Macaca mulatta: one gene and its partner. The protein of the gene in region 1 purifies or fractionates together with the protein of each later gene. This does not show direct contact. Links are inferred from orthologs where the notes say so. Each region holds a gene or a part of one and is shown in the gene's direction. Other genes may lie near its edges.

Region 1 (3,916 bases):
CTCTGTTGTCCAATAATCATCTCAAACAATATGTTTTTTTTTTTAAAAAAGATAACTCCGATTTTCCTGCAAAGATCTTCCTCATTATAGCCTTCACCACTCTGCTTCCAGTATCTCCATCCTAACAGTTGCTCAGGTCAAAATCCTTGGAGTCATCCTCGACTTCTCTCTTTCTTTCATACCCCATGCTGGGAGGTGGGGCCTTTAAGAGATGATCAGGTTGGTAAGATGGATTTAAGTCTTTGTTGCAAGGCTGGATTAATTCTTATGGGAATGGATTAGTTTTTGAGAGAGTGGGTTGCTATAATGCTGAGTCAGCCTCTTTTGTCCATTCTTTCCCAGGTGCTTGCTAGCTCTTCTGCTTTTTTGTCATGCTACTTCATAGCATAGCATATCGGACTTCTCAGCCTCCAGAATTGTGAGTTAAATAAACTTTTCTTTATAAATTACCCAGTCTCAGGTATTCAGTTACAGCAACAGAAAATGAACTAAGAGATCCCATAGCCAATTTACCATGAAATCAGGCTGACTCTACCATCATACTATATCCACCATCTACCTCCATTGCTACCACCTGGTCTGAGAAACATCTTTTACCTGGGTTAGTGCAGCAGCCTCCTAAAAGATCCCCCTAAATCTACCATTGCTTCCATACAGATTATTTTTCACCCAGGAGTCAGAGTGATTCATGCAAAACTAAAGTCACATTTTGTGTCCTCTGCTCAAAATCCTGTAGTAATTTCCCATTTCATTAAGAATAAAAGCCAAATTTCTTACACTATCATACAAGAACCTACTTGATCTAGCCTCCCTCATTCACTTTGCTCCATCCATGCTGGCCTCCTTGTTATTTCTTGAACATTCCAGGCATGCTCCTGTCTTGGTGCTTCTGCTTAGCACTTCTCTTCCTGAAATGCTCTTCTCCAAGATTTCTACTGGCTGACTCCCTCAACTTCTTTGACTCTTTGCCAAAATCTCATCTTTTCAATGAGGCTTCCTCTGACCACCCTATTTCATACTACAATCTGCTCCCCGCTCCCTACCCACAGAACTTTCCATCTCCTTACTCTATTGTTTTTTCCTTAACACTTATAACTTTCTAATGTGCAATTATTATTTTCCTGTTATTGTTATCTTTCTCCTCTGCTAAAATGTAAACCCCAAGAGGGAAGAAATCCTTGTTCTGTTCACTGTTATATCCAGAGGGCCCATAAGAGTACCAGGCACACAGTAGGTACCCAATAAACATTTGTTGAATGTTTAATAAATATAAAAATGGATTATGTGTACCTTGAATGTTTGGTAGTAGTTGCCTCAAAATCATTTGAACCTCACGCTACTTTTGTGGAAAGATTTTTTTAAGCTACTGATTCCATTTATTTACTGTCTCTAGGTCTATTTAGATTTTCTATTGCATTTCAGTCCTTGTTGATAAATTATACATTTCTATGAAGCCATATATTTCATCTAAGTTTGAAAATGTATTGGCATAAAGCTGTCTAACATCCTGTCATATTTCTTTAAATAATCAATGTGACTATGTTTTCCTTTCCAAATACTGTTTCTCTTTTTTATTATTAATCTTTGGTTGATACTCTGTATTGTCTTACATAAATTTCTGTTTATTATTACCTTTTATCTATGTCCTTTGGCCTAACTCTATTGGTCTTTTGTTTATTACTCAAATTATTTTTCATGATGAGTGATACAGCAGTTGCCAATATTTCCAGTTTCCTCCTTCCAGGCTCAGGAGGAGGTTACACCTCCCTGTCCTATTAAAGTTAGACAAGGTCAACTGACTAGCTCTGGCCAATGATTTATGTCACTTTTGATGGAAACATTTAAAAACCTATGAATGTGGAAAGAATGGTCTTTTCAATAAACAAGGCTGGGTCAATTAGATATTCATATGGAAAAAAACAAATTGTGACCCTACTCATAAAAATGAATTCCAGCTGGATGGCAGATACAAATTTGAACAATCTTGGTGAGATAAGGTTCTTCATTTTTAAATTCTTTTTTGAAATAGAGATGGGGTCTTCCTATGTTGCCCTGGCTGGTCTCCAACTCCTGGGCTCAAGTGATCTTCCCACCTCCGCCTCTCAAAGTGCTGGAATTACAGGTGTGAGGCACTGTGCCCAGGCAAGAGATAAGATTTCTTAAACAGAGCAGAAAAACACTAAGGTAGAGGGGGAAATGACAAATTGACACATATTAAGATGAAAAACTTTTGTTCCTCAAAAGGTACCATTAAGATGATGAAAAAGTAGGCCAGGCGCAGTGGCTCACGCCTGTAATCCCAGCACTTTGGGAGGCCAAGGTGGGCGGATCACCTGAGGCTAGGAGTTCAAGAACAGCCTGGCCAACATGGCAAAACCACATCTCTACTAAAAAAAAAAAAAAAAAGAAAAGGCTGGGCATGGTGACAGGCACCTGTAGTCCCAGCTACTTGGGAGGCTGAGGCAGGAGAAGCGCTTGAATTCGGGAGTCAGCAGCTTCAGTGAGCTGAGATGGCGCCACTGCACTCTAGCCTGGGCAACAGAGCCCGTCTCAAAAAAACAAAAAAACAAAAAAACCTCAAAAAACAGAAAAAGTAATCCACAGAGTGGGAGGAAATATTTGTAATATCTATACTTGAAGAATGACTAGTATCTAGCATGTACAAAGGCTTCCTACAAATCAATATGAAAAAGAACACCTGCCCAACAGAGAAATAGGGAGAAGCCTCAGATACTGCACAAGAGAGAATATCCTAATGGCCAAAAAACATATGAGAAGGTTCTCAGTTGATTAGGCTTTGGCTAAATGCAAATTAAAACCGCCATGTGATACCACTACTCATCCAGCACAATGGCTAAAATAACGATGCACAGGACACCACCACAGACTCGCGAGACTGAGGGGTGGGTGTCGCGAGACTGAAGAGTGGGCGGTGCAAATAGTCGAGGTGTTTACTCGCCATTTTGTGTGAGGAACGTTGACGGGACCCACCGTTGTGGCCTGGCCTCTACCGACTGCCGCCCTGGCCGCTACCAACATGAGCCTCCTGGAGAGTCCTCACAGGCCTGCTACTCTCGACCGTGCCCCGGAAGACCCGCACCAGGGCCAGAGGTCCCGAGAGAAGAGCAAGGCGACACAGGTAATGGCAGATGTGTTTGAGGGCCGCTTGGAGCCAGTCGTGCTCCCACCGCCCCAGCTTCCAGAGGAGGGGGTCGCACCCCAGGATCCCGCAGATAGTGGCCGTACTTTCCACATCTTGGTCGATGGGAGTCGCAGTCGTGGAGCCATCAAAGCTGGACAGGAAGTGACTCTACCACCCGCGGAGGGCCTAGAAGCAGCCTCTATCTCGCTGACAACTGACGGCAGCCTCAAAAATGGCTTTCCGGGTGAAGAGACGCCCGGCCTAGATGGGGAGAAGGCTGTAGAAACCTGTGGTGCAGGGAGGTCGGAGTCTGAAGTGATTGCAGAGGGGAAGGCCGAGGACGTGAAGCCTGAGGAGTGTGCCATGCTCTCAGCCCCAGTGGATGAGAAGCTAGGAGGCGAGGAAATGGACATGGCGGAAGGAAACAGAGCAACAGATGAGGTAAATAAGGATGCAGGGCCTGGGCCCGGGCCCCTGAACGTGGGTCTCCACCTGAACCCCCTGGAGTCCATCCAGCTGGAACTGGACTCCGTGAATGCCGAGGCTGACAGGGCCCTCCTGCAGGTGGAACGCAGGTTTGGGCAGATGCATGAATACTACCTAGAGCAGAGGAATGACATCATTCGCAATATCCCGGGCTTCTGGGTCACTGCTTTCCGCCACCACCCACAGCTGTCTGCCATGATTAGAGGCCAAGATGCCGAGATGTTAAGCTACTTAACCAATTTGGAAGTGAAGGAGCTCAGACACCCTAGGACAGGCTGCAAGTTTAAG
Region 2 (3,916 bases), on another chromosome or scaffold:
TATTAAAATTCCATTTTACAGATGAGGGAATTGACTCAGGATTTCAATAATTTGCCCAAGATTCCAGTTAGTAAGGAGCTGAGGTGGGATTTGAGGCACAGGTCTCTGATTCCAAAGGCCATAGTCAGTCTTTTGTGCTTTACTCCATTTAATTGTGTATTCCCCTCATTCTCCTAGCACTTAGTAGAGAGGCCAGTCTAGGATAAATGTTCAACAGCAAGAGCGACCCCAAAATATAAATCTGATGACCTCTTTTTGCACTTAATCTAGATTGTTTACTAACAACCCTCCTCACCCCCAGCTCACCAGTCTTTGTCTTCAAGACAGTCTCTTTCCTTCCCTAGAGCATTTGCTGCACTTATACGTCTCAAGGCTCTTCTCACTCTTTCCATGCTAACCCCTTTATGTCCTTTAGATCGCAGCTTGTCTCTTGTTCAGAGGCCTTCCTTGGCCATTCGATCTAAAATAGATCTCTGGTATTTTCTATGTCATACACTTGTTTCCTAATATTTATCAAATTTTGCAGTTACTTTGTCAGTTTACTTTCTGGTGTTTTTCCAATATTATGCCCCATGAGACCAGCAACCTTGAATCTTGTTTGCCTTTGATTTCCCAGAGCTGTGCTGTTCAATACAGAAGCCAGCAGCCACATGTGGCTACTGAGCACTGTACTGTAAATGTGTTATTTTCTTATTGAGATGTGCAGTTAAGTGTAAAATATGCACTGGATTTTGAAGACTTGGTATGAGAAAAGAATGCATAAGATCTCGATTTTTTAATGTTGATTACATGTTGAAGGACTTGGATAAATTGGGTTAAATATATGACTAAAATTTTCACTTATTTTACTTTTTAATTGTGGCTAATAGAAGATTTCAACCTACATATGTAACTCACATATTTCTAGAATCTGAGACAGTGCCCTGGCCCATTTTATTGAATGAAATATCCAATGTCGAGAGAGAGATCGAATGAATGGGTGTATGAAGAGGTATAGTCTTAAGCTTCCATTAGGCAAATAGATACAGCACTGCCATAGAAGTTAGGAGATCTGGGTCCTGGCTCAGGATGTACTGGAAACGCCTTGGACAAGTCTTGCCCTACTCTGGGCATCAATTTGCCCATTAGGTAGTTGATCTTTGAGGTCCGGAAGCTTACGACAGTCAGTTGGCAGGGAAATGTACCAGGAAAGCTTGGTACAACCGCACTTGTGTTTTTCGCTCTAGCCTAAACACTTGAGCCTCGGCAAACGGGCAGAGGCAGCGGGAATCAGGGACTACACCCCCGAACCCAGTACCCGGGTCCCCGACTTCCCCGAGCCTACGTCACTGGGGCGCGACGGCGCTGTCCCCGGGACTGCAGCGACTGAGGTCCCTTCGGTGAAGGCGAGTTCCGGGCCAACAGAGAGGGTCGCACCGTTTCCGAGTCTTTCGGAGGCTCAGTTCTCAGCGCACCATTCCCCACAGCTCTCCTTTTTACTTCACCCCTACCCAACACTTTACCCCGGGGAGCATCCAAACCCGAGTCTCATCGCGGCTGCGCAGCGCACGTGCACAGCCTCGCAGGAGTCTCGGCGATTGGCTGTGACGCAGTTTCCGGCGTGAGCGGCGAAAGCCGGGAGGGCGAGCGAGAGAGCGACCAGGCAGCAGGCTGCCGGCGGGCGGGCGGACGGCACGGAGGGAGGGAGCAAGCGAGCAGTGAGTGAGCCAGCGAGGGCGGCCGGGTCCCGAGGTCAGCCGAGATTTCTCAGGTCCCTCCGGCCCCCTCCCTGGAGTCCACAGCGCCTCCGGTGTCCAGCGGATCGGACACGGCCCGGCCCGGCCATGGCCTCGTTGCTGAAGGTGGATCAGGAAGTGAAGCTCAAGGTAGCGGCACCGGTCCGGCCTTTTTGCCCCTCGCTTTGATCCCCCAGCAGTCTGACTGGCTTCCTACTCCCCATGTCGTCTTTGTCTCCCTGGGGATACCAGCTCTGAGCTTCCGCTCAACTCAGCCCAGCCCCCAACTCCCGGGGTCGGCTTCGCGGGAGAGGAAAATATAGGATGGCTTTCTGTACCGCGTCTGATGATGGAGAGTCCCGGGGACACCTCCGCGGACACGTGTTGGACTCAGGGCTTTAGGCCAGTGACAGCTGGAAATCCCCCAGCCCAACAACGTCCCTGGACACTGCCTCTGCCCTTGGTGGCTGGCCTGCCTGGTATCATAGGCCAGGTCTGGGTGGGGGTTGGCACGTTTGTGAGCTCACATCTTTCCTAACTACCTGTCTTTTGTCTGCTTATCAAATTCAGACAGCTTCAGACACAGGAGGGAGGGAGGGGAGAGGAGAGAGGAGACAGGCAGGTGCTGCCCTCAAAGCCCTGCTTTCTTCTCCTGAGATGGAAAAATGGATCCTCAAAAAAATAAAGTATTTGCAGTCTGGGGGCCTCTCAGCTTCTTATTACAGTTACAAGGTGAGGGAAAGACAGTTGGATTTGGGATTCTCTATCCTGCTCTTACCTCTGTCTCCAGGTACTGAATTGCTCTCTTTGTTAATTTTAGGTTGATTCTTTCAGGGAACGCATCACAAGTGAGGTGAGTGAAATAAATAGAAAAATGAGTGTTGGTTGAGAGTTTCCCAAAGAGGAGATATCTGTAGAGAGAGAGAGAGAGACCTTCCCACAGATATTAATTCAGCTATATTTTCCCTCCTCCTTAGGCAGAAGACTTGGTGGCAAATTTTTTCCCAAAGAAGTTGTTAGAACTTGATAGTTTTCTGAAGGTGAGAGACCCTTTTCTTTCCTCAAATTCCCCTATTTTTTTGGCCCTGGTATTACTGTCAACTGGAACTAATTGTGTGTTGATTCTTCTTTTTATTTTTTTAAACTGTAAAAGCGCTTTCATTTCTTGCTCTTCAATCAAATACTTCTTTGTTCAGCTTGAAAAGATTAATGTTTTGGGGTGGGTGTCTTTCAGGAACCAATTTTAAACATCCATGACCTAACTCAGATCCACTCTGACATGAATCTCCCAGTCCCTGACCCCATTCTTCTCACCAATAGCCATGATGGACTGGATGGTGTAAGTGTCCTATATTTATCTTTGTGTTCTTGAGCAGTAGGTCCTCTGTCCTCTGTTTCCTTGTCAGTTTAAGATGTACAGAGGCAACAGTGGGATTTGGATCTGGGAACTAGGACTGTTACAGACATGATGACTCTAGTATAGTTGTTTTATTTCTTATTTATTTATTTATTTTTGAGAAAGGGCGTCACTTTTTTTTGCCCAAGCTGGAGTGTAGTGGCGTGAGCACTGCTCACTGCAGCCTGGACCTCCCAAACTTAAGTGACCCTCCCTCCTCAGCCCGCCAAGTAGCTGATACTACAGGAGTGTGCCACCATGCCCAGCTGATTTTTGTATTTTTTGTAGAGACAGGGTTTCACCATGTTGCCGAGGCTGGTCTCAAACCACTGAGCTCAAGTAATCCACCCGCCTCAGCCTCCCAAAATGCTGGGATTACAGGCGTGAGTCACTGCACGAGGCCTCCGGTATATTCCTTTTAGACCCTGAGTTTCATTTACGATGTGAAGTGAATGTGCTAATGCTACTCTCAGTGTTAGAGTGAGTTTCAAATAAAAGAGAACTAGCTTTGGCCAGGCGCGGTGGCTCACACCTGTAATCCCAGCACTTTGGGAGACTCAGGTGGTTGGATCACGAGGTCAGGAGATGGAGACCATCCTTGCTAACATGGTGAAACCCCATCTCTACTAAAAATACAAAAAATTAGCTGGGCGTGGTTGTGGGCGCCTGTAGTCCCAGCTACTCGGGAGGCTGAGGCAGGAGAGTGGCATGAACCCAGGAGGCGGAGCTTATAGTGAGCCGAGATAATGACACTGCACTCCAGCCTGGGCAACAGAGCGAGACTCTGTCTCAAAAAAAAAAAAAA

What was found.
Region 2: the proteins of TSPYL6 (region 1) and PSME3 purify together in Homo sapiens (affinity purification with mass spectrometry; 3 studies listed by BioGRID and IntAct, counting the BioPlex papers as one, with this or other methods). This does not show direct contact. The link is inferred for Macaca mulatta from reciprocal best matches to the Homo sapiens genes TSPYL6 and PSME3.

The regions. Positions count from the first base shown.
Region 1 is NC_133418.1:70,388,766-70,392,681, forward strand, and holds the start of TSPYL6 (testis-specific Y-encoded-like protein 6), read left to right. Parts: upstream 1-1,115; 5' UTR 1,116-3,037; coding exon 3,038-3,916.
Region 2 is NC_133421.1:67,183,077-67,186,992, forward strand, and holds the start of PSME3 (proteasome activator complex subunit 3), read left to right. Parts: upstream 1-1,588; 5' UTR 1,589-1,823; coding exon 1,824-1,865; exon of another isoform or gene 1,866-2,372; coding exon of another isoform or gene 2,373-2,447; intron 2,448-2,535; coding exon 2,536-2,568; intron 2,569-2,658; exon of another isoform or gene 2,659-2,692; coding exon 2,693-2,755; intron 2,756-2,949; coding exon 2,950-3,054; intron 3,055-3,916. UniProt on the Homo sapiens protein: Subunit of the 11S REG-gamma (also called PA28-gamma) proteasome regulator, a doughnut-shaped homoheptamer which associates with the proteasome. 11S REG-gamma activates the trypsin-like catalytic subunit of the proteasome but inhibits the chymotrypsin-like and postglutamyl-preferring (PGPH) subunits.